Linked DNA regions of Struthio camelus. The main gene of each other region encodes a partner of the protein of the gene in region 2 in a complex. Links are inferred from orthologs where the notes say so. Each region holds a gene or a part of one and is shown on either strand. Other genes may lie near its edges.

What was found.
Region 1: GEMIN5 (region 2) and GEMIN2 share a complex: the UniProt entries of both Homo sapiens proteins name them as parts of the SMN-Sm complex. The link is inferred for Struthio camelus from reciprocal best matches to the Homo sapiens genes GEMIN5 and GEMIN2.
Region 3: GEMIN5 (region 2) and GEMIN4 share a complex: the UniProt entries of both Homo sapiens proteins name them as parts of the SMN-Sm complex. The link is inferred for Struthio camelus from reciprocal best matches to the Homo sapiens genes GEMIN5 and GEMIN4.

Annotation. Positions count from the first base shown.
Region 1 is NC_090946.1:57,112,294-57,119,461, forward strand, and holds the start of GEMIN2 (gem-associated protein 2), read left to right. Parts: upstream 1-3,858; 5' UTR 3,859-3,994; coding exon 3,995-4,116; intron 4,117-4,855; coding exon 4,856-4,940; intron 4,941-5,466; exon of another isoform or gene 5,467-5,918; intron 5,919-6,258; coding exon 6,259-6,348; intron 6,349-7,168. UniProt on the Homo sapiens protein: The SMN complex catalyzes the assembly of small nuclear ribonucleoproteins (snRNPs), the building blocks of the spliceosome, and thereby plays an important role in the splicing of cellular pre-mRNAs.
Region 2 is NC_090954.1:11,969,498-11,977,133, reverse strand, and holds the start of GEMIN5 (gem-associated protein 5), read right to left. Parts: upstream 3,174-7,636; 5' UTR 3,069-3,173; coding exon 2,909-3,068; intron 2,611-2,908; coding exon 2,456-2,610; intron 1,757-2,455; coding exon 1,575-1,756; intron 795-1,574; coding exon 643-794; intron 413-642; coding exon 293-412; intron 1-292. Other genes in the region: MRPL22 (large ribosomal subunit protein uL22m), read left to right, coding at 3,206-3,233, 3,328-3,373, 6,221-6,356. UniProt on the Homo sapiens protein: The SMN complex catalyzes the assembly of small nuclear ribonucleoproteins (snRNPs), the building blocks of the spliceosome, and thereby plays an important role in the splicing of cellular pre-mRNAs.
Region 3 is NC_090957.1:18,137,227-18,145,570, reverse strand, and holds the start of GEMIN4 (gem-associated protein 4), read right to left. Parts: upstream 3,311-8,344; 5' UTR 3,246-3,310; coding exon 3,236-3,245; intron 3,138-3,235; coding exon 1-3,137. Other genes in the region: GLOD4 (glyoxalase domain-containing protein 4), read right to left, coding at 5,658-5,723, 6,237-6,323, 6,411-6,524, 6,763-6,849, 7,464-7,600, 7,817-7,961. UniProt on the Homo sapiens protein: The SMN complex catalyzes the assembly of small nuclear ribonucleoproteins (snRNPs), the building blocks of the spliceosome, and thereby plays an important role in the splicing of cellular pre-mRNAs.

The sequences.
Region 1 (7,168 bases), on a different chromosome or scaffold from region 2:
AAATTAAAAAACAAACAAACAAACGCACCGTGCAGCACCTGCCTGCACGCAAGTCTCGTGCAGCTTTATCGAGATGGCTAAAGCATCGCTGCTAAACCCTCAGACCGTGGCACAACCGCGCAAGCGTCAAAGGTGCAGCCCACTTTGCGAGAAGTCGGAAGCGAGACTAACTTCAGGCCGGCGGACCCCGCAGCAGGCGGCGGCCGGCTCAGGCAGCCCCTGAGCCCCCGCGCACCCCCCGGGCCGGGCCGGGCCGGGCCAGCGCAGCGCGGACCTGCCGCCCGCGCAATGCCCAGCGCCGGCCGCCCGGGGCTCCTCGCTGCGGGAGGGCGCCGTGAGCGCCCCCAGGCCCCGGGGGGCGGCGGGGGCAGCCTCCCACCGTCCTGCCTCGCAGAGCGGGAGGGCCCCGCAGGCCCCGAGAGCGGCGGGGGCCTCCCGCACGGGCGCGCCGCGGCGGGGGAGGAGGGCAGCCCGCGCGGCGCCGGCCCACGGGCTCCTCTCGCCGCCGCGCAGCCCCCAGCCCGGCGGCCGGCGCCGGCTCCCCGCACCGCCGCCGCCGCGGCTGGGGGTGGCCAGCGGCCCGCTGCTGCCCGGCGCTGCGCCGCGCTGCGCGCTCACCGCGCGTCCCGGCCGCCGCCGCCTGCCTCGCGCCGCCCGCCGCTGCACCCAGCCGCCCCGGCGCTGCCGACGCAGCCAACATGGCTGATGGGAGAGTCCGCGCCACGTCAAGGGGCAGAGAGCGGCGGGCCGGGGGCGGGCGGAGCTCCCGCCGCCTCCCCTCCTCTGCCCCCGGCCCGGCCCGGCCCCGGCGCCGCGGTGCAGGCGGAGCTCTCGCCCCCCCGGCCCCGGGACCCGCTGCCCGGCGCGACGGGAGGCGGCGGCCGCCGCCATTTGTCGCCCCGCGCCACTGCTTTTACCGTGTGCTTTATCTTCCTGAGGGCTTCTTTCTTCTTGCTTTCCATGTGCTGTTACAATTTCAGATTTCTCCTAGAGATAGTTTTAATCTTGCTCTTTAAAGCTGTTTGGAAAATAACGTGTTCCGACCACTAGAGGGAGCGGGGCCTTCTCCGCCCCTGAAACGCATTTAGTTCTCCCTCGCTGTCCGGCTATTCCTGAGAGGGACCACCTGCATTGTATCTCCTAGCCCGTTGTACACCCATAGGCACCGGATAACTACCTTTACACTTGCATATGGGTGTACTTCTCTGTTATTTCTTTCTTCTTTTTTTTCCCTAGGGTCCATTTCAGGTAAATCCTCAGGATCAAGAGAGCTCAACCGGTGTTCTCACAGTCCTCACGTTTGCCCAGCCTGTTGTCTATCTTCCAACATGTGTATTTATGCCAACTTTTTATTCTGGAAAACTGTTTACATATTGTCTCAGACTTGCTGAGATAAATATATTGAACCTAGACTCTTGGTGGTTTTTAACCTGTTGCAGCACTTCTTCTCACATTTAGACATATTTAGAAATCTAATGCATGTTTATTTACTCTCTGCGCAGTAATTTCCACATATCCCTACCTGTACAGAGTTTTGTTAAGCCTTCTGGGTAGTGTGGGTTTTTTCTTTTTTTTTTTCCTTCAAAGACAAGTTATAGTGATACTTAGGTTTCAGGGCACTTCAGAATTACTTTAAACAAGCCTGAGACAAAAGGCTAAAACAGTCTGAATAAAACATTTACTTCTGTCTTTCATGATAAATCTTACTGCAAGTGATCTAGACGAGGGGGAGGAGTGAGAAACATTCTATCTAAACAGTCTATCTTGTCCTTCGCTGCAACTCTGAAAATATGCAGTGGCCACTAGCCAAATATAAACGACCAAATTGTCTTTATCCCCATTTGTTAGATATCAAATGTGATTACGACAGAATTCCTATGCCATTACTATCTCCAGTATTGTTAGCCCCTCCTCTTTAGGGCCTAAGAATATGAGCATGTAAACAAAAGTGGATTTTAAAGGGAGCCAGTTAAAATTTCTCTGTTCTCTAATCTCACTGCCAGTTGTGGGAGTATTGAGCTGGAGATCGTCAAGGCCATGTAACCTCCCCAGTTTGTGAACAAGGGTGGACTTCAAACAGATGCAGAGCAAGCAGTTCAGTGTTACACTTTTGAAAGCGCTCAAATACTCTGGTGAACGTTTTCAGAAAGGCATGATACAATGAGAGGAGGCAAGTCCCAAAGTCAAAATTGCAAGATGACCTCTATGGAGGAGGAGAAGAAAAGATAACTGAAACATTTAAAGAAGCTTAAAAGGGAAGAAGGAACACCTGGAAAGTTTAATATTCTAAAAGTTCAATGAAAATAAAAGGCATACAGTATTTTTATCAGTCATAAGCACAATTATTTAATTACATAATGACTCAGTCCAGCATCCTAAGCTTCCTTTAAGAAATGTGATGGAGCCGTTAAATGTTGATGGATACCACAGAGAAAAGCAATGGGAAGTGGAAAAATAGAACAGAAAGTTGTACTCATTATAATGTACTCATTACAAGAAAATATTCTTTCTGTTATCTCTCAATATTAGAATGTACAGTAATGGTATTCTATTTTTCTCACTAAAGATTGTTAGTTTGTGTTAGATATTTTTTAACTCAGCAATGCATATCCACTGATGGCAGCTCACCTTTCCTTTGGAAAAGTACTCTTCCATAACGGCGAGGCAGCTGAGAAGGAAGAACATTTAGTTCCAATTTCTTTTTCCTCTTTCTCCACTGAGTCCACTTTGACAGGCACCACATCAACATTGTTGGTAAGACTTGTTAGGAACAATTTTGTTATCCTAGGAAGACCACCTGTAATAATTCAAAATATTTCATTTAAAAAGTGACAGTGGGACTGTACCAGAAAAAGTCATCTAAATATAAATAATATTTTATATTTACAATGTATTTATATCCACAGAATGTCTTTCTGTTCATAGTTCTTGACTTCATGGCAAACAGAAGAAAAGTGCTGAATATTATATAAGTTTTAGAAGAAAACTTTTTACAGCTTGACTCACCAAAATTTTTGTCTACACCATTGGTCAGCCTTTTCAGAAATATCATTGCAGTTTTAGCTATGCAAGTCGTATTTCAAGTGATGACTGCACTTGTTGCATAATCAACTAGGAAGTTAGATCCGGGTTTCAGAGTTAAAACACCTTCTTACACGTAAGTGGTTTTGGAAACACCTTAAAACAAACAAAAGTCAGTGCAGAGGAGGAGTTAAGAGTTAGTGTTTGTTCAGAACTGCTGAAGTACAGCTTTGTAGGAAAAAAAACATTTATTTTCAAAACTTGAAGCCAGAACAGTCTAGAGCTGCTCTGCTCTACTCTATGGACTGAAATTAGTACGAAACAGATTCAGCACACTGCAGAACTGTTAGGGAAAAAGAATATATAGACTGAAATTTGTCCTAACAGGAATTCGATAATACACAGTTCAAATGCATCATCCTGCTTTCTATTTGTTTTGCACTTTGAAGCAACGCACCTTTGTGTTAGCGCTACTTTGATTTTGATCTGGCATATGGATATATGCATAGAGAATATATATATAAACCCATACAGCAACAACAACAAAACCATGCACTGGCTCTTCCAGAAAGAGAACTATGCTTATTAATAGCACTTAACTTTTACATGCCTCATTTCAACCATAGATCTCCAAACATTTAAAGGAGAGAGCAAGTAGTAGTACTCTCACTGCACTGGTGCAATAGAAAATATTAATAGATGAGTTTTGTTTTTAAAGAACCCCTTGAAAATAACAAGGTACATTAGAATGATGGCATAGAGGCTAAAAACGGTTATTAAAGGTTTGCAGCGGCGCAGCGGCGCAGGGCCCCAGCCTCCCACGTCTCGCGAGACCGCGAGCCCGCGGCCGCGCCAGCCTGCGCAACGCCTGTCGCCTCCCCGCCGCGCGCATGCGCGCCGGCCCGGCAGCCCCGGCGGCGGGCGCGAACGGTGGCGGCCGCCGGGAGTGGGGAGGAGCTGTCGGGGCGGCGCGATGGAGTCCGCGGTGGAGGAGCTGATGCCGCGGCTGCTGCCCGTGGGCCGCTGCGACTTGGCCGAGGACTTCGACCCCACGGTGCCTCCCAGGACGCCCCAGGAGTACCTCAGGCGTGTCCAGTGAGTGGCGGCGCGGAAGGGCCGAGGCGCGGCCGGCCGGGGTGCCGCCGGGGGTCGGGGCCGGGCGGCGGTTGGAGCTGCCCGGGCGCGAGGGGCCAGCGCCGCGCCGGCGTGCGCAGGCACGGCCAGGGCTGCCGTGTCTTCCTGAGAGCTGATAGCGACACGGGGCGCTGCCAGAAGGTAGCCAGAAACGTTACTTCCCCAGCGTTTCCTCCGTGGTCGGCTCTCTCCCTACGTGAGATGTCAAAACGCATCTTTTTTTTCTGTGAGGCTCGTTCTGTAAGAGCTCCTAACGCTTCGTGGCACGCTGCCGTCTGTCACTAGGTGTTTCTGACAGGCTTGTTGGCCCGTTGGGATTTGCAGCGCTCGGCGCTGGTGCTGCGCGCTTCTCGCAGAAGGATGGAGGGTGCATCTGTTAGCTGTGTCTACCTACCCCTAACAGTGGCCTCCCGCCATCTCCCGCATCCCGGTACGGGAAGCATAATCTGTCTCACTTCAAGCAAGCTTCAGGCAAGCTAGAGCAATCGTCCCTAGTTTATTCTCAGTTTGAGAATACTTAACCTGTGATACATTAAGAAATTCTCAAGTTACACCTTCCATAAGAATTGCTAGTATAATCAGTGGTGTTTTTTTAAACACTTGAGAATTTGTGCAAGTGCCATAGTTTAAAGACACTCAACATATATAACCACCTGTTACAATACAGGAACAAATGTAACCATTTACTTTTGTTTTGTAGGATTGAAGCAGCTCGCTGCCCAGATGTCGTTGTGGCACAAATAGACCCCAAAAAATTGAGAAAGAAACAGACAGTAAACATTTCAGTAAGTTTGAGAGGTTTTGCACCTATTATTTTGAGGGGGGGGGGAAGCAGAAAATATATTTATGTTAAAATCTCTGTATTAATTTTTTGGGATAGTTGGCCTAAATAAAACAATAGAGTTGCTGTATATTAAAAGCATCTACAGAATTCCATGAAATTTCAGGGTTTGAAGAGACGGTTGTTGAATTACTGGATAACAACAGTCTTTATAACTGTTTTAAATGGCTATTATCCATGCTATTTAATAAACAGCAGGACTTATTTTACTGCCTGAGGAAATTAAATATTGCATTAAATTTTATAAACATTTTCTCATAAAACCTGTGTAAGCTTTGGAAGAAAGATACTCATACCTCTGTTCATATATATATATATATATATATATACACACATATATATGTATATTTTTACATGTGTGTGTGCACATATATATATATTTATGTGTATAGAGGGTGATGAATGATAGTAAGTGTAATAAATACAGCTAAGGTTTACTAATGTTAGATGAAATTCCAGCACCAATTCTTCCATTTTTGGTAGGATATTTTATTGAAATTTTTTCTTATTGCTCAAGCAGATCTTTCTGTTGTCACATGCCCTGGTGTTTTTTGTTTGTTGTTAATTTCTTTACTTCCAAATAGTTCAAGCAACAGAGTTTGTCTTCCTCTGTGGGAAACTGTGATCTGATATTTTACTATTGGACTGCTCAAGAGAAGTTTCTAAAACTTTAATGTGCTCTGACATATGACCATGTCATTCTTGTGACCATTCTCTTCATTTGTCTCATCACTTTGTAGTGGCATTGTTAAACATTTGTAGAAAGATTCTTTTCTTAAAATAACTCTTTAAAGCTGGTTACTAGAGGGGTTATATGTCTACTTAATTTTCAGAGTTAATTTCCAAAAAGATATTTCTGCAGTCTTCTCTGTCTTCCTCACCTTATTAGCTGAGCACATAGAACTCCCAAGATAGACAGCATCTGTCCAAAGTAAGGAAATAACATCCTCCTTTTTATAAATAGGGAAATGAAAGCAGAACAATTGCAAGGAAAAAAAATATATAAAAATCTTATTTTGATAGCATATTTTGAATACTTAGTTTTTCTTCTTATTCGCGTTATCAGAAGAGTCAAATGGGAAACTTTGCCTCAACCAGCTGTCAAATCATAGTCTTGTACGTGGTCATGAAATCACCTTTTTTCTAAAGAGTATATAAATGACATTTTTATCTGATAGTAAATATTTGCTGATGCTCTTGCTCTTAAGGATTCTTTTTATAAAACTTTCTTTACATTATAATTATTGCCAGTGTTTTCTTAGATTTCTGGATGTCAGCCTGCTCCTGAAGGATACTCTCCAACTCTCAAGTGGCAACAGCAGCAAGTGGCCAATTTCTCAGCTGTTCGTCAGGTACAAAATGGTGGGGGGGAATGTTTGCAACTTGCACTGTCTAGATAGAACACATCTTTGCTTTATGGGGGACAACCTTATATACTTCCTACCATAAAGTTAAAAGATTCTATAGCAGATGTTGGTAGATAACTGTTTTAACTTCTGACAAAAAATCAGTATATAACTGTATGGCTTTAAACTTTTGATGAAACTCTCAAGAGAGTTGTGGTAAGAGAGATCTGTTAAAGACAAAAAATGTTCATTCAACTGTATCAAAAATATCCAGCTATATTTAGATTAAATGATGTAGAGTAGTTGAGAGAGGACAGAAATCCTGATGTTATGCAGTTATGAAAACCTAGAACTCAGCATCAACTGAAAAAAAGGTGGATTGTAACCCACCATGAGATTTATGTATACACTGTATTGCACATTCATATAATACACTGCCCATTTAGGATACCATTGTCACTGGTGGGACCCATGATGGGGAGAAATATTGATTTGGCAAAATGCATTTGTAAGGTTGTGACATTTGCACAGATTTAAATCTTTCCTACCGCGTTTATACGTTGCTTTTAAATAAGAGAACTAAAATGAAGAATTGAATAGCCTCTCTCGATTCACAGTTCTGAGTGAAATGCAAAAGATAAAGATCTTTACAACTCCAGTGCTGCTGAAGGCATGTTTACAGTGCGTTGGTATCACGTTTCAGAGATACCTGAATTAACTCAATATAATCAATTGCACTGAAGCAGCTGTAGCATAGAACTTTGCATGAGCTAATTTACCCTGTTTTTTCAGGGAGGTAAATCAGTGAAGGTGGAGCTCTGTACTA
Region 2 (7,636 bases):
GCTCCTGGTGAACACCAAGAACGTCCTAACTCCAATTCTGACTTCTTTGGGCCAAGGAAAATCATTGCTAAGAGTCAAATACGGAATGGGGTCCATCATGGGCAGTGTTACAGCAAAACAGAACTTCAATCGTAGTTCTGATTTTTAGTTCCTATTAGCACACAGTAAATCAAGCATAGTGAACAATCAGAGCATTACACTATTAGGTTAGCAAACGAAAGGTGTAGTTAGAGAAGAACTCTTCCACCATTTTGTTATTATTTACTTCACTTATGTTATTAACTTTACTCACTTCTGCCTCTAGTACAGCTCCATATTCGTATGGTCTGATCTTTGCTTCCTGAAGCCAGGTAACAGCCTTTCTTCGCAGCCGTATCTTGTGTCAGCTCCCCATTTGGAACTTCACTGTCTTCTAAAGGAAATATCGAATAGCGTCAAAGTCGTGTTATACTTTAAAACTGAAAGGTCTGTATAAATCAGCTGAAACTATATTGCTCTGTATCAGAAAACACCGTAGCTTAACTCATCAGGTGCCTTTGATTAGCTACCACCTTTCTATGAATAAGGAATTGAGTTGCCTAGAAGGAGGATTTCAGTATGAACCAAAAACCACTTTACGAACTATTAATCGTTTCTACGTACCTTGGAGCTCATCTTGCCAAGCAGGTAACCTTTCTTCACCAGGCACAGGGCACCAGGCCAGACAGTGTATTTCATCGTCATGGCCTCTTAGCCGATGAAGAACTTCTCTTTTCCTGCTGATATCAATTATAACCACCATGCCATCCTTGTAGCTAAAAATAAAGATTTAAGTTAATGAAGAAACTCTTGGACCCTTGTGGAATAATATCTGATTTGATTTCAAAGCTTGTCACTGAGATTGTTATCATTATCTCCATATTACAGACAGGGAAGCCAAAGCACAAGCAGCAATGGGACTCGCAGACTAACGATCAGCTGGAGCTCCAGTTTAGCACTGGAATACACGCAACTGCCTTTTCAGGTGCAATTACACGGTACTTTTGGCTTCATGAATGTCATTAGTAGTATTGCTTCCACAGACCTGACAAGCAACAGTCGCTTTTCTACATGGAAAACCTTTCCTTTTAGAAACACCACTTTCATTTTCTCCCTTCTCTTGTGTTTGTTCTCCTTCAACAAAACTGCGCTCTCAAGTTTAAAGGGCTTTCATGTTATTCCTTGTTCGTTCAATATGGTCTTGGGCATCTAAGGGGCTGGAATTGCAATGGCTGAGAAAGGCCTAGCAAGACTAAGAAACTGTTCAAATGAAGTTACCTGTAATATGACAAAGACCAAAGAAGTCTAATCAAAAAAATATTAGTTTAAAATAACTTCAGAGATTCAAACCAAACCCAGACCCTTAAATTTTTATAGAATTCTATGTCTTTCATGTCTATCAAATCTGAACATTCTTTCTGGGTTGCCGCGTACCAGAAACCAAACAGCCACCAAGACCTCTTAGAAAGCAATTGTGCAATTGTTTAACAAGCAAAAATCCACGACAAGGACCTTTCAAAAGAAGAATGAGAAGCAACAAAACAATTAATATTTACCCAACAGCCACCAGGTTTTCGTCATGAGGAGAACAAGTGAGGCAAAAAATTGTCCGAGGCTCTGGGAAGAATTGTTGGCTGTCATTTCTGTTATGCCAGTAACAAACAATTATACCTTTCTCATCACCGGATACAACCAAATCTTTCACAAGAGGTGACCAGTGCAATGCAGAGATTGTATTCTGAAGAAACAGAATCAAAGACGTTTAAAGGAGTCTAGGATGTTGTTCCACTAGATTTATTTCATACTGTTTAAAGAATTAAAACACAGAACACAATGAAATGCATAAAAAGCAGCTTCTTTTTGGATGGAAAGCAGACTACGTTACTCTAACAGCCTGCCTTCACTCACTAGCTAGAGATTACCACCTAACACAGAATAACAAAGAGAAAACAATCTGCAAGTACTCCCCAACATCAGCTAAGTTTTAAACTGCTTCCGTTACTTTGAGCTTTGACATGTTTGGTGTGCCAATACGCTGCCATTCCAGTTAACTTCTTATGGGCCATGGTATCTCCCAGCAGCTGAGGCACAGTAACTCACCACACGTACCGCACGTGTGTTCTCTGAGGAAGAACAACTTGGTGAGGTGATGTTAAGTGAGCTGTGTTAATAGGCATGCACCAAGTGCATTACTCGCTCACTGAAGCTCTGATGATACCTGACAGCTTATTAAGATGCTATAACATCACTATAGACCTAAGCCCGGAAAAAATAGCTACCCACAAGAATTCAACAGTCCTGACTCCACCAGTTTCGAAATCCACCTTTAGTTGAAGCAATACCCGCTGCTTTGTGCGCCAGTCCTACAAGGCAGATCAGTGAGTTTTTCTCTCAGCGTTTCCTACGCCCCGGCGAAGATGGGCACCGGTGTCCCTACCTGGTGCAACGTATGCTCCGTCACCGGCGACAGCGTCTGCGTGTCCCAGACTTTCACCGTCCCGTCGTCGGAGCTGCTAGCGCAGAGCCCGCTCTGCCCGGGGTGGTGGCAAAACGCGAACCCGGAGACCCTCTCCGTGTGGCCGACGAGCTCTCCTGCGCGGCAGCGGAAGAGCGGGATGGAAACCTCCTCGGAGGGCACGGACCCCACGAGGGCGCGGCCCCCTCCTCCACGAGGGCACGACCTCCCCCCCACCCCCGAGGGCCGCCCGCCCCGGCCCCGGCCCCGGCCCCGGCCCCCACCACGTGCGCGGGCCGCAGGGCGGCGGAGGGGCGGCCCCGCCGCGCTCTATAAAGGCGGCGCGGAGCAGGAGGGCCCGGGGCGGCGTCAGGGGGCCCGGTCACCCCCATCCTCTCCCACCCCACCAGGCCCCGCGCGCGCGCGCGCCGGTACCGTAGAAAGCGGGCGCGGCGGTGCCGCCACCGCCGACGTCCAGCAGGCAGATGCTGTGCCTCGCGCCGAAGCCGAAGAGGCGGCCGTCCCCGCTGGCGTCGCTGCAGCGGCTGCTGTACCAGTTGGGCGAGGCGGGCAGCACCCGCGCCGCCGCCGCCATGGCCTCGCCGCCCCGTTAGCCGCCTCGGGCGCTGCCGAGCGCTGCCGCCCAGCGCCGCGCACGCCGTCGCAAAGCTGGCGGCGCGCAGCAGGCCGCGCGTGCGCCGAGAGCGCCTGCCGTAAGGCGAAGCAAGGAAGATGGCGGCGCGGCGGGTAGCGGCGGCTGGTGAGAGTGAGGGGTCGGGAACGGCGGCGGCGAGGCGGGGGCCGGGGCAGGCCGAGCCCGCCGCTCCGCCGCTCACCTCGCTTCTCCCTTGCAGGTTGTGCCTGGCCGTGGGGCCTCCTCGGCTGGGCGCGCCCGGAGAGGTGAGTGCGGCCCGTCCCTCCGGCTCCGCGGGCTCCGGGTGCCCAGCGCCGGGGGCCCGGCCCGGCCCGGCGACCGCGGGGCGCGGAGGGGAGGGTCGGGCCGGGCCGGGCCGCATCGCTGCGTGCGTCGGTAGCACCTTTCTCCGCGCCTGGTCATAGCGGCACGACGGAGGCGTCTCTCTGCTCTGGTCCTGCCCGCGCAGCTCCCCTCGTTCCTCCCGCCTTCTGGCGCACAGCGGTGCCAGAAAATTCCCCTGGCTCCCCAGCGGCCTTTTCCGTAGTTGCTGACCTTCCCGCCCCATCTGCACGGGTGGGGAGGGTGAGTCTGGGGAACGCGGGGCTCTGCTGGCTGTATTCCAACTTCAGAAGAAAGGCTGGTGATGTGGATTTTCAAAGGGCAGAGCTATGGTCTCGGCTAAAGCCTGTGGAGGTAAACGAGCGAGCCGTGTCTCTGAAGGAAGAATAAACATGCTTGTGCTTTGCTTACTGCCTTGCAGTTGAACTAAGTTGCATGCTGATGGCTTGTGTTTTATTGAGTTCTTCTATGTCTGCTGCTTACTCCTTATGCACAATTCCTGCTATAAAGCTTCTTTTTTTCTTTCCTTCTCTGCTTGGTTTTGTGTATGTAACGTAAATACTTTTGTTGCTTGTCATTGTCTTCTTTGGCTTGTAGTCTCTTTGTGTCCTCTTCTGCCTGCTGAAAGCACTACAAGTAGAGTTGCCCTCTACATACGCTTGGATTACCTTCAATTTTAAGCTCCTAAATCCTTAGTCTGTGAAATGCATTAATGCGTTCTGCTAATACTTGGAAGATAACTAATTCACTGCTATCTCAGCTAATTCAGTCATCAATCTGCACCATTGTATATTTTTGTTCTATATTATTCAATGATATTGTCTAGTGATGATGAATTGTTGACTTGCTGTTGAGTGAAACTCAAAGTATTAAGCAAATAATGAAGCTAGTTTTGATGAATACTGGCTAGAAGAGTCCATAATATTTTAATTTGCACGTTACGCTACTTCCTGTTGACCAAATGTGAAAATTTTTAGTCTGTGCAATGCTCTCTTGCAACTAAGACATTGTATGCTATTTGCCAAAAACTTTTAAATTGCTTTGATGCACAGTCTGGCAGTGAACATAAAGGTCTTCAAGCCTTAGACTTTGTAAAACTCACAGCATATCGTCTTGACCTTATCTAGATTCTTTTTGGTTAGAGATTAATGAAAGGATAAGGATAAATTGGTATGTCTTTGAGATTCATTTGGATGTGTGGGCTTAATCATATGATCCGTGATTGCTAATCTTTATTCTTATTTCATATTAACTTATGGAGGCAAATGCAAAAATACTTTTGTAGTTCATTTATTATTATATTGTAGCTATATCAGGAAGGCTGCTAGCAGAATCTGGACTCTGGAGAAAAGACTGTCTTTTGTTCGAACTGCGTGTTGTATTTCCCACCTTCAATTATTCAGTTAGTCTATGAGAGTACCTAATATAGGGATGGCTTCAGTGAAGTGTTCTAAATACTTAAAAGGGAATTGTTATTTCCCTGCCGCCAATATCTGCCAATTCAGAAAAAGAAAAATGTCATTCAGTAGTTGCTTGCTTTAGAAACTTTGATTGCAAGGATCACGTATGCCAAGAGGAATGTGGAAATACGGCTTTTTAAAGACAATTCTGAGGTAGTGTGTCACTTACTTGCTATGAAACTCTACTCTGTGAGAAAAGGAGACTGATACCGAAATGGTGCTTCAGAAATAGCTAGTGTCATGCCAAAACTTTTGGGGCTAAATGTCTTGCTACTGTAAGGTATGGGGAGGGGGGGGATTCAACTCTGACAACTTTTTCCCAGCTCTGACAACTTTTTCCCCATACTAGCAGTTTTTCAACATGAAAGCATTCTGGTCTCAGCAAGCAGACAAAGTGGAGTAGAGTTGCTCGTTCTGTTTCAGTCTCAAGTTGAAAGGGAGGAAGAAGACTAGTAACTAGCAAAGCATGTGTTCTAGTTAAGGCTGGAACAGACACTTAGAAAGCTCAAGGTATGTTTTGATTGCAATACTTAAGTGTCCCAATTTCTAGAATTGGTTTTCAGTTTCTAAAGCATTTGATGTTACATTCTAATAGAATATACTCGGTCTTTGACAAACCAAAATGGAGAAGACGCCTTGGTTTGTTACCTCTTGCTTTCAAGCTTTGTTTCCTCTTGACTCCTATTTCTTGTAGCTTATAGTTACGACTGACTGCCCTGTATCATTTTATCTAGACAACAGGGGGCAAAATGTAGCCTAGTCTTTCTGAATTGGAGGTGAGAGAACTGACTGAAAAGCATAGAAATAGTTTTTCACTGTCAATTATCTTATTTCACTGCCTTTTTAAAGAAGTTCTGAAATAACTTTCCTTTCAAATTTCAGACAAGATGAGTGTATATACAGTTCTAAGACTTTGGTAGTCAGTCCTTGAAAAGCTAAAAATTACTACTGCTAAAAATTTTTAGGTGAAACTTAAAGTATTGGCTGATCTTAAAAACTGCAAACAGTGGGTTCATTATGTTGGTAATGAACCCCCCACAAAGAGGCGATTACATCTCTGTCAGGATCAGCGGATGCTCATTGTGGCATCTCTTGCCACACAGATGTCGCTTAAGATCATGGCTTGCTTTAGGAAGGCTAAAGCTTCCTGCCCAACTGTGGGAGACCTTTCAGTATAAAGGCTCAAATAGTTTCATTTTGTGAGCTGTCAACTGTGACAGACATTCACTTTATCCAGACTGGTAAGGATAAATTCAACAGGCACACAGAGTTTTTGTATTCAACAGCAAAGGTTGTGGTCTTGTTTTGCAGGTTTTTAGCATCTGGTAGTGTTTTCCCTCTGTCATGCATCCACACAAGCACACCCCTGGAGAAACTTGGGAAGTGGGAGAAAAAGAACAGGATTGTTTACCCTCCACAGCTGCCTGGAGAACCTCGCAGACCAGCGGTAAGAATGCACCTATAACTTTTGGTACCTGTCTATATGTAACGATTTCAGAATACAAGGTCATTGTCTCAAGATCACCCTACGAGGCGCTAATTTGAAAGCTTATTTATTTGGTGTTAAGATTTTGGTCTGTTTGGTGTATTTATATTGTGAAAGCCAGAGAAGTTAACTTCACTTTGGATGTTTCCCACCTCTAAATTTTGTTGGAACTTCAACAGCTGATCAGCTATCTAATGTGTGATGCGTAGTGCAAAGATATCGTCCTCTCTTTGTAGAAGTCTGAGCTACAAAGAGGCAGAAGTTACCAGGAACTCTCAGTATACACTTGTCCTATTCATGCTAATAGTAGGTAACTAGAGAAGAAGGTGACTGTACTGTTGGTTCTGTGCACAAAGCTAGAAAATCTACTTCTAAGTAGCGGAGCTAATGGTGTACATTTACTGTAGATGCAGTAAAGTGCATCATCTTTTCATTTCTTAATTTATTTTCTTACAGATTATCTGGGGCCTAATAAGGTGTGACCTCTTAACGTGGCCTTTCTCCTAACAGACTTATTCGTAGGCTGTCTTCTGTCTTATTGCTTGCTTGTTTTGTTTTCTTGGATTTGTTCGGTATGGACTGAGAGATTCTGAAATTATCAGAGAAGAACACATGAATCGGACGTGATATATGACTGCAGAAACCCCTTTCCCTCAGGAAACCAGTATATGAATACTGTACAGCGGGGTTGTTTCTTCAGACTCTTTGCATAATAATTTGTATTTACTAAGCCATGAATTGAAGGAAGGAATCTAATATCCTTTTGTCACCTAGATCCTCAATGTAGCCGTCTTCCGTTGGCCAAAGTAACTTTTGCAAAAGTCAACTTAAATAACATAGTCGACTCTTTCTATAAAGTAATGACAAATAAGATTATTTTTTGATAACTGCAAGTTCATCCATGTTTCTTCTCTGTTGTCCTTCTCTTGACCAATTTATAGCTGGAAAGTACAGTTAAAAGCAAGCAGCAGCAAACCTCTTGTTTTAGAGTTCTGCATGAAAACTGAGTGTTGTGTATTTTGTCAGTGAAGGGAATAATCTATGGTTCTTTCTCTACACCACAAACTGAGAATTTTTAGGTGAGCTCCTCAGTATTTCCTTATACTTCTTGACAGCTGCCTTTTTGGATTTCCATTTTTGCAATCATACTTCCTTGGAAAGTGTTATCTTTTGTCCTCTGCTTGGCATACCGCTAAGCGGAATAATTTGTATCTCAAAAGCATAAGGCCTTTTAGCCACGT
Region 3 (8,344 bases), on a different chromosome or scaffold from region 2:
CGCCTTGTCGCCGACATTGTCCGTGATGCACTCCAGGAAATGTCTCTCATTGGCTCTCCGCAGCGCGTTGCTGGGGGACATATCGGCGGCACTGAAGGCCTCGTACTGCGAGAGGACCTCCAACGCCACCACCACCAGCGGCTCGCCACACCCGTTGTCCGGCAGCATGGCAGCGACATGCAGCACATGGCAGAACATCTGGATGCAGACAAAGGACACTTCCTGTGTGGGGTTCATGTCCTCGGCGGGGGGCACGGGGGGCACCGTGGTGCTCTTGATGGAGCCCAACAGGTCCGTTAGGCTGCTGCAGTACAGCTGGACCACGTGGAGCCAGGCCTCTGCCGGCAGCCAAGTGGAGCAGCTGGAGCTGCAGAGGAGCTGGAAGCCTCGGAGGAAAAGCACAGAGAACTGGAGGTAGTGGGCAAAAGGCCGGAGGTTGAGCAGGGGCATGTACTGGACGTACTCCAGCGTGTACGGCACATGTAAGACTTGCCTCTGCAGCAAGCTTTGGACCACATGCGCCAGCCTCTTCCATTCGCTAAGGCTGCACCAAGGGAGGACCTGTATGAGGGCCACCAGGAACCCTTTGCTGAAGAGATTCACTTCTTCAGGGTTGTCCACGTTGACCGTGAGGAGCGTCAGCATCGTCTCCCTGAGCGCTGTGGACACGCAGCAGCACTCCATCCATGCCAAGAGCCCGCTGCCCGGCCCGTAGGCTGGTAAAGGCCGGGACGTCCACTCGTCCTCTGGGAGCTTGCAGATCTCAAATAGCGTCTCTGGGACCTCATTCTTGAAATGGTCTCCGTAAAGCTTCTTCAGGTGGAGACCAACAGTCCAGTCCAGTGATGCCAACTTCCTATGAAGCCAAGCCAGCGACTGGACCCACACCTCAGGGGATGGGGCGGCTTCTGGTCTTACCACTTCACAGAGTTGGGAGAGGGTGTTCACCACCAGGTCTTTGGTCTCCAGTGAAGGGAAGTGCTGGTCCCTGGGCCGATGCCAGTACCTTGTGTAACCATCCAGAAGCTTGCAGAGGCTGAGGAGGAGCGGGAATGGGTAGCAGGACTTGATCCAGTGCTCTTCTGGATAGGACTGCATCCCCAAAACCTTACTGAGGATCTGCAGGCTCAGCTCAATTTGAGCGCAGTCTGATTTCAAACAGGGAAGGATAAAGGCTTTAGTCACCTCTGCAGGTGACACAAGTGGAGCTGCTGAGCTTGGCTGCATGAGAAAGGCCAAGAACTCAAGAAACTGTTCCTCTTCTCTCGCTGTGGAAAGCTTCCCCCATACCGCCTCCTTCAGACACCTCACTATCAGACTGCGTGGCCTGCCTGGATCATCGTGGGTCTCCAGGAAGCTCAGTGCTGGGAAGGAGCAGAGGATTTGGGCAAGGAACTGGTGTGTTCCTAGGTTGACAACAGCAAGATTACAAACCTTCTTCACGGTGGCCTCAGGGTACAGCAGAGTGAGCCTGGCCACAGAAGCCACAGCCCTGGACAGGCCTTGATCGGACACGCTCTGCGTTATCTGGTTGAACGTCACATTCAGATCCTCCTGGAATCCCTCCATGACAACCTGCAAGTTCAGGGACAGACCCGGACCACCCCAGGAAGCCAGGACACCTGAGAGGACTTCATTCTTGTCAGTTAATGAAAGCTCAGTGTAACACTCCAGGATGGCTCTGGTCACTTGCATCTGCAACTCTCGGGCCTCCCTGTCTTGGGAGGACACAGTAAAGTTCACCACAGTATCCAGCAATTTCAAAACTAGCTCTGGTTTCTGGAAGAGAGTTTTGTTTTTCACAAGGCAGTCAACCCAGTCCTTTGAAAAGGCCCAGGTCTGTTCAGAAGCAAAAACGGAGCACATCTCCACGTGCCGGTCCAGCTTCCGCTCAATGATTGTCATGGCAACTGAAGAGACAAGGCTGGTGTCTGAATCCTTGCTCTTCAGACTGGTGCTGATCTTCTTGAGAAAGTCCCCGATGATCTGTGTCAGCTCTAGCACTACGGACTTCTCGTCCTCGCTCAGGTCTCTAGTCTCTGAGAAGCAAACCAGGTTCTTTCTGAGGGTGGTAAGCGTATCAAGGAGCCGGTAGCTCTCATAGCAGAGCTCCTCAGAGTTGTTCAGAGTGCCCTGCAGCTCCTCTCCCCAGGCATGCAGCAAGGTGCGGAGAAAGTCCAAGCCAGCAAAGAGCTCCTCGTCAGAGAGCTTGACGACGGACAAGAGGCTCATGCTTCTCTCAGCCTCCCTCACTTTCTCGTCCAGCCCTCTCCGGTGGTACCGGCTTTCAGCATCGCTGTTCCAGAGGCTGACCACGGAGCTGACCTTGTCCAGGTACTCAGCAACGGGGAGGGACCTGCCCTCTGGCTCCAGCTCGGTGAACACAGAGAGCAGCTCCGCCAGGTTGGCCAAGGCGTAGCACCTCATGCGGGGCAGGGTGATGCTCCTGTAGGTCTGTTTCAGCCCCTCTATCAGGACCACGAGCAGGCTGGCGGCAGCCGGCGGGCCAGTCACAGAGACAGGGTCGCTCTTGAACCTCTTGGGGGGCTGGAGCCCGTCGTCCGGAGAGGACTCGGACCCGTGCTGACGGATGAGAGCGCTGAACGTCGAGGCCGTCCCGTCCTCCTGCTCCTCCTTGTGCTTCATCACCTCCCACCACACGTCCAGGAAGAAGCTGACGTCCGCCGGGGAGGTCTCGCTGGCGACGTACTCCACCAAGCGCTCCAGCTCGCCCCGGCGCAGGTGGCGGGGCAGCGCCAGCAGCAGCTGCACGAAGAGCCGGGGCACGTTGAGGGCCTTGGCCAGCTCGAAGAGGACGGTGTGGTTAACGTCGGGGATCATCCGCCCGACGGAGAAGAAGGCGTCCTCCCGCCAGCCCCGGTCCAGCGAGGCGGGCGGGGGGCCGGGCAGCAGCACCTTGGCCCACACGATGGCGACGGCCTGTTTCTTCCAGAGGCCGGGGCGCGGCGGGGCGGGGCGGCGGGCGCCGATCTCGCGCAGGGCGTCGGCGATGGGCGGCCCCACCAGCGGCCAGTCGGCCTTGCGCAGCTCCCGCAGCGGCCGCGGCTGGAAGAGCTTGGCGGCCAGCAGGAACCCGCCGTGCAGGATGGCCATCTCCTCGCACACGCCCCACGGCCCTGCGCGGGGACACGCGGCGCACCGTTACCCCGGCCCGGCCCGGCCCGACGCCCCCCCCCCTCCTCCTCCTCCGCCCCCCGCGGCCGCCCGCGCTCACCTGCCTCCATGGCGGCCCCGGCCCGCGCCCCGCGCCGCCGCGCTCTGTGACGCCAGCGCGCCGCCGCCGCCTCAGCGCCCCCTGGCGGCGCGGGGGAGCTGCCGCCGCTGCGCTCCGCCGCCTCAGCGCCCCCTGGCGGCGCGGGGGAGCTGCCGCCGCTGCGCTCCGCCGCCTCAGCGCCCCCTGGCGGAGCGGGGGAGCTGCCGCCGCTGCGCTCCGCCGCCTCAGCGCCCCCTGGCGGAGCGGCGGAGCTGCCGCTGCCGCCGCCGCCGCCGCCTGGCCGGTTCCCGGACAGGGGGGGTGTCACATCCCCCCCCCCCCCCGGGGCAGTAGGAAACCTTTAACAGCTCTGGACGATCTATTTGGGGTCGTGCTACTTAAAAGCTACTTTTCGGACGTGAAGAACTCCTCTCTGCATCTGCCGTGGTTTAAACCCGCGCACGGGAAGGCTCCCCCGCTGCCGGTGCAGCCCCGGGCGGTGCCTGGGCTTCCCACCAGGCCAGGCAGCGAGTGGAACTTTTTTCCCACCCTTTTGACACAACTTTGCAATGATTTTTTTTGTTTGCATGAAAGGCGTTGAGAATTACATTAAAACTGGCAGAACATTGCATAAGAATGCCCTGCAGGGTAGCTGAAAGAACAGATCTCAGATCATCGTCACCACAAAGCACTTTTATTCATTTAATTGCACGTTTTCAAAACAACAGGCTGTGGAGATACAATTTAAGTGTAATATTTTTACTTGATCAGTAGTTGGCTTAATCGAATGAAACAAAAAGCGCAAACAACATATTGAGGATTTTTTCCCATTTTAATTCAGCATATTCCTCGTAAGCATTTAAATTGTCTCAGTGATACACAACTGCTAATGCTGTTGATTTTGCCTCCTTTTTTCTGTAAAACTTATTTCAGGTTTTCATGAAGAAAGATTAAAAGCCAGCTAGCCTGCCGAACATGAACAATGCTAGTAATGAGTCCCTGTATTCCCAAGTTCTCATTCCACTAGCAAAAGCAGAGCGACTTTATTCCAACCCATAAACCCATAACCATTGCTTCCAAAAGGTAATTTAACATCAAAGCTAACTGCAAAGCCATGTGTACGTATCTGAAGTTACTTCCTGGCCCCTCAGGGGAAGGCACGGAGCTGTTGCACCCCCCGAGGCACAGCCAGGCTCCAGCCTGGAACGTGCGGTGCTGTGTGCTGCGCTGAGCAGCTACGCAGGCAGGGGCTGGGTACGGGATCGAATACATCCAGTGGATTCACGTAGTATGACCCCAGTGAGAAATCCATCCAGCTTTCCAAAGTGCATACTTCACCGTGAAAGCCAGGCAAAGATTTTGGAATGAAAATAATTTTCCAGACTAGAATATTCACATGCATCACCAGGATAGTTACCCTGTTCTCAATAAATAAGAGTCCGCTATCATAGCTACAAAATGGTCAAGTTCTCTGTAGACACCCCCTCAGCTTCAGCTTGAAACTTCATCACCAAAGCAGGACAGCTGCCATATTCAGGGCCAGAGCTACCTGAAAACCTATTTTCTGAGCAGCAAATCCAGGTTGGCCAAACCCAATTAACTGGAGGACTAGATAGTCTAATAAATCCACAGATTCTAATGAATCTACAGATTTATTATAGAATAAGCTTTAATAGTACCTGCTCTCTGACTCTACCATTGTTGATAAGCTTTTGACATGGAAATTTTCTCCTTAACTTATCCCATCCATTAATGGGAACAGAATAGGCCTTTTCCACGTAATATTCTTATGTTACTATTGACCTCACGTTTTGCTTTAATAGTGAATGTTTGAGAACATCTGTAAATAGCTTTCATTTCATCCACAAACTTAATTCCTATTTTAATTCTTTAATGAATATAGCCAATTAATTAGGGTCCCACTTTTTAATTATCTTTTAATACCTTTGTTTCAATACATCAGAAATTTGCCTCTGGTGACATTAAACAGGAAAACCGTAGAAGCGTTATTCACTCACAACCATGGCAGAAGGCTAACTGAGGACAGCTGCTCACAGCACGCTAACAGCTGTTAACAGCGCACTACACAAGATATCAGAGAGCTGTAGCAGTGTTAGAGGAGAAACTCTGGGCCTCCTTTTCAAGTCTAACAGGAATAGAGAAATGTGAGAGATTTTCTACCTATTAACTCATGGTTCCTGTTTTTGAAGCCATATGCTCAATCTGTTCCTTACTGTACAACCCAATTTTTTGCATACATTTGAAGGAGCACGTAGCATTTACTGGAAAGGAGAGATTAGCATTAAGAGATACAAGCTCAAAAAAACCCCCAGCATTACACTGGCCTCTTATTGAAGAGGATAACACAACACGTTACATATTATAGGCATTTCACTCAGATGGCAACCAAGGCACAAATGATCAGACGAGTCTTATTCTCCAACTAAGCAGAAGCCTTCTTCATGTTTTTCTCTGCAAACCATTTGTCACTCTTGTCTGCTGCCATGGCCTGTACAAAGAAAAATTTTAGTATTTAGAACAGAAGCCCATTCAGCCAGACACCTGGTTGCTGACATTCACCAGCCTGCCCCACAAATTTAGAAAGCATCCTTATAATCAATCTAGTTCTGAAGCAAGCTATTCTGCTGAGGAAACCTCATGGTTTCTGCCAGTGCCTCTCTGTCGCGGAAGGATCTTCAACTGCAGGGATGTTACTGCAGCTGACAAATCATTTTCTGCAGTAACTTGCACCAAAGTGTTGTTTGACAGGTCCAGCAAGATGCACAACCTCTTGGCTGCCCTGAGAACAAGGCTGGAAAACTAGCCAGGACACAGAAGTGAACTCTAAAAATTGATTTGCTTTCCTTAGCTGGAAAGGAGACTGAGATAAAACACCACATGACTTGCTTCTCTGAAAAAACTCCATTTGGAACTAAAGGGAGCTTCCTTGGAAAGGAAATTAAATTCTACTGGGCGTCTAACTGATCAGTATGAAAACTCATGCATAGACAGCATTACTTACATCATCTAACAGTTTATCACCATTAGGATCCACCTTGGACAGATCTCTAAATGCTTCATCTCCCACAAAGCAGATTTCATGGCCATCCTAAACCAAGTTTAACAGCACAGTAAGTTAGATAACTGGGAGACAGATATTTAAATCAAATCTGTCAGTCTTGCCAATATTACTCACAGGATCCGCCAAAATAATCACTTGCACTGTGGCTTTGCCAGGTGTGTCCAAGCTAACTAGAGGTGTTAAAATTTTCTGATGCTCCTTTTTCATGAGTGCTTCAATGTTTGGCAACTGAAACAGAAAAGAAACAAGACCAGCCCTAGTCAGTTGAAGATCAGATGCATTCAGGTTGTTCTCGTTTACAGTTTCCTGTTAGCCCGTTTCTCCATTGTGTTCTCACTGCAAGAAATAGGAACAGAACATCTGTTCAGTGTTACTTTGTTCACATCTGAGATATTTTGTTAATACCAGAAAATAATCTCCTAGTAGCCAGCTGGCCAAATGAAAGGGGGAAGAGAAAAAAGATTACCTCTTCCTTTGCGCAGGAAAAGGCAATCCGCCCAAATGCCGTCCCATGATCCACTGCTCCTCCAACGTTCTTCAACTCCAATTTACACTGGAAGAGGAAAAAAATAGCCTAATTTGCAAGGACACTATTCTCAGCGCTACACTTAACTCCAGCTTTTCACTGATACCGATGATGTCAAAACTACCCACATACATATTTCCCAATGAGTTAGAACTACCAGAGCAAGCCATAGCTTTTGGTTAAAAAATGAATTAAGTGCACACAAGCACACACACACACAAACAATCCAAAGTAGGAAAGACTGAGAATTGTTGACAGTTTCAGCCTTTCTTTGCAAAACATTGAACAAGTAAGTTCACTTGCAGGTAAGTGTCTCAACGGAACAGTCAACTTGTACCACTGATTTCTATTTGTATAAGCATTCTGGGCAATAATTCACAAAGGAGAAATGCTTTTAACAAATCATTTAAAATGTAAACCCAGAAGCATTAACAACCGTGAGAATCTCTTCTCTTGCAACGTGTAAGAGGTAAGATAGAAGCAGGATGCACTAATAAAAGCTAATGTTGAAAAGGTCAGAGAAACACTTGTTTTTATGAAGAGCTTTTCTCCTTTAAGATTTTGTTCTCATGAATAAGAAGCTTCTATCACGAAATACAACTCTTAAAGATCAGAACTGGAAAGTTTTCTATGAGACTAACCTGGTTATCTGCATAGCCTAGTAAAACCCTTTGCTTTTCCTCATCCTTCTCATATATTTTCATCCCAAGCAAATTAGACCAGTAGTTAATAGACTTCTGCAGATCGGAGACACCCAAAGTTACCTTTAGCACAGGATCTATAAGATTGCAATAATTTCACATTAGTTACAGAGATACTGTAGTTTTAAACTCATTGTTTTACATTCTCGAGATGAAGAGAGAAACAACAAGGAAATGAAACAGAAACATGCTCCTGTTTCATAAAACGTTGCAAGCCAAATGCACAGCCAATTCCAGTATTCCACTTGTAGGCCTCTTTTGAATGTAAGTAAGAGTAAGCGGACATGCTTTACCTTGCTTTCGTTGTTCTTTGTCTTCCAAGTAGAACTTGTATCCTCCCGGGGCCTCAGTTTCAAATATACCAGTGGCAACTTCGCTGAGGGGCCATCCCAGCTTCTTAGCATTGCTCACAGCCTGGCTGGACACAAGTGTTATGCCCTAGCAAGAACAGAAAGGACACATACAAAATACGCTGGTGCGAAGATGACTGAGGTGCCTCTCTTCACCGGCTTGCACTAGCACTGGCCCTCCAGTTTATATGCATCGATAAGGAGAACTCTGTCTTCCTCCCTTTCACCCTTCCAGGCTACATTAGCCACAATCTTGGATCCAACCTGTGGTTGTGGTCAAGGAGATCTGACCACCAGACAGAGTGGATGGTGCATAGTTCCCCCCTTTGAAATAATCTGCCTCTACATATGAAGACCGGAAGCAAATCAGATTACTTTTGCTTAGAGATAGACTATATGATCTCCTGAGAAGCTGGTATCTTGCTCCTGCAAAGTAAGTGTAATCTGACCTCTCATCCCACATATACACTG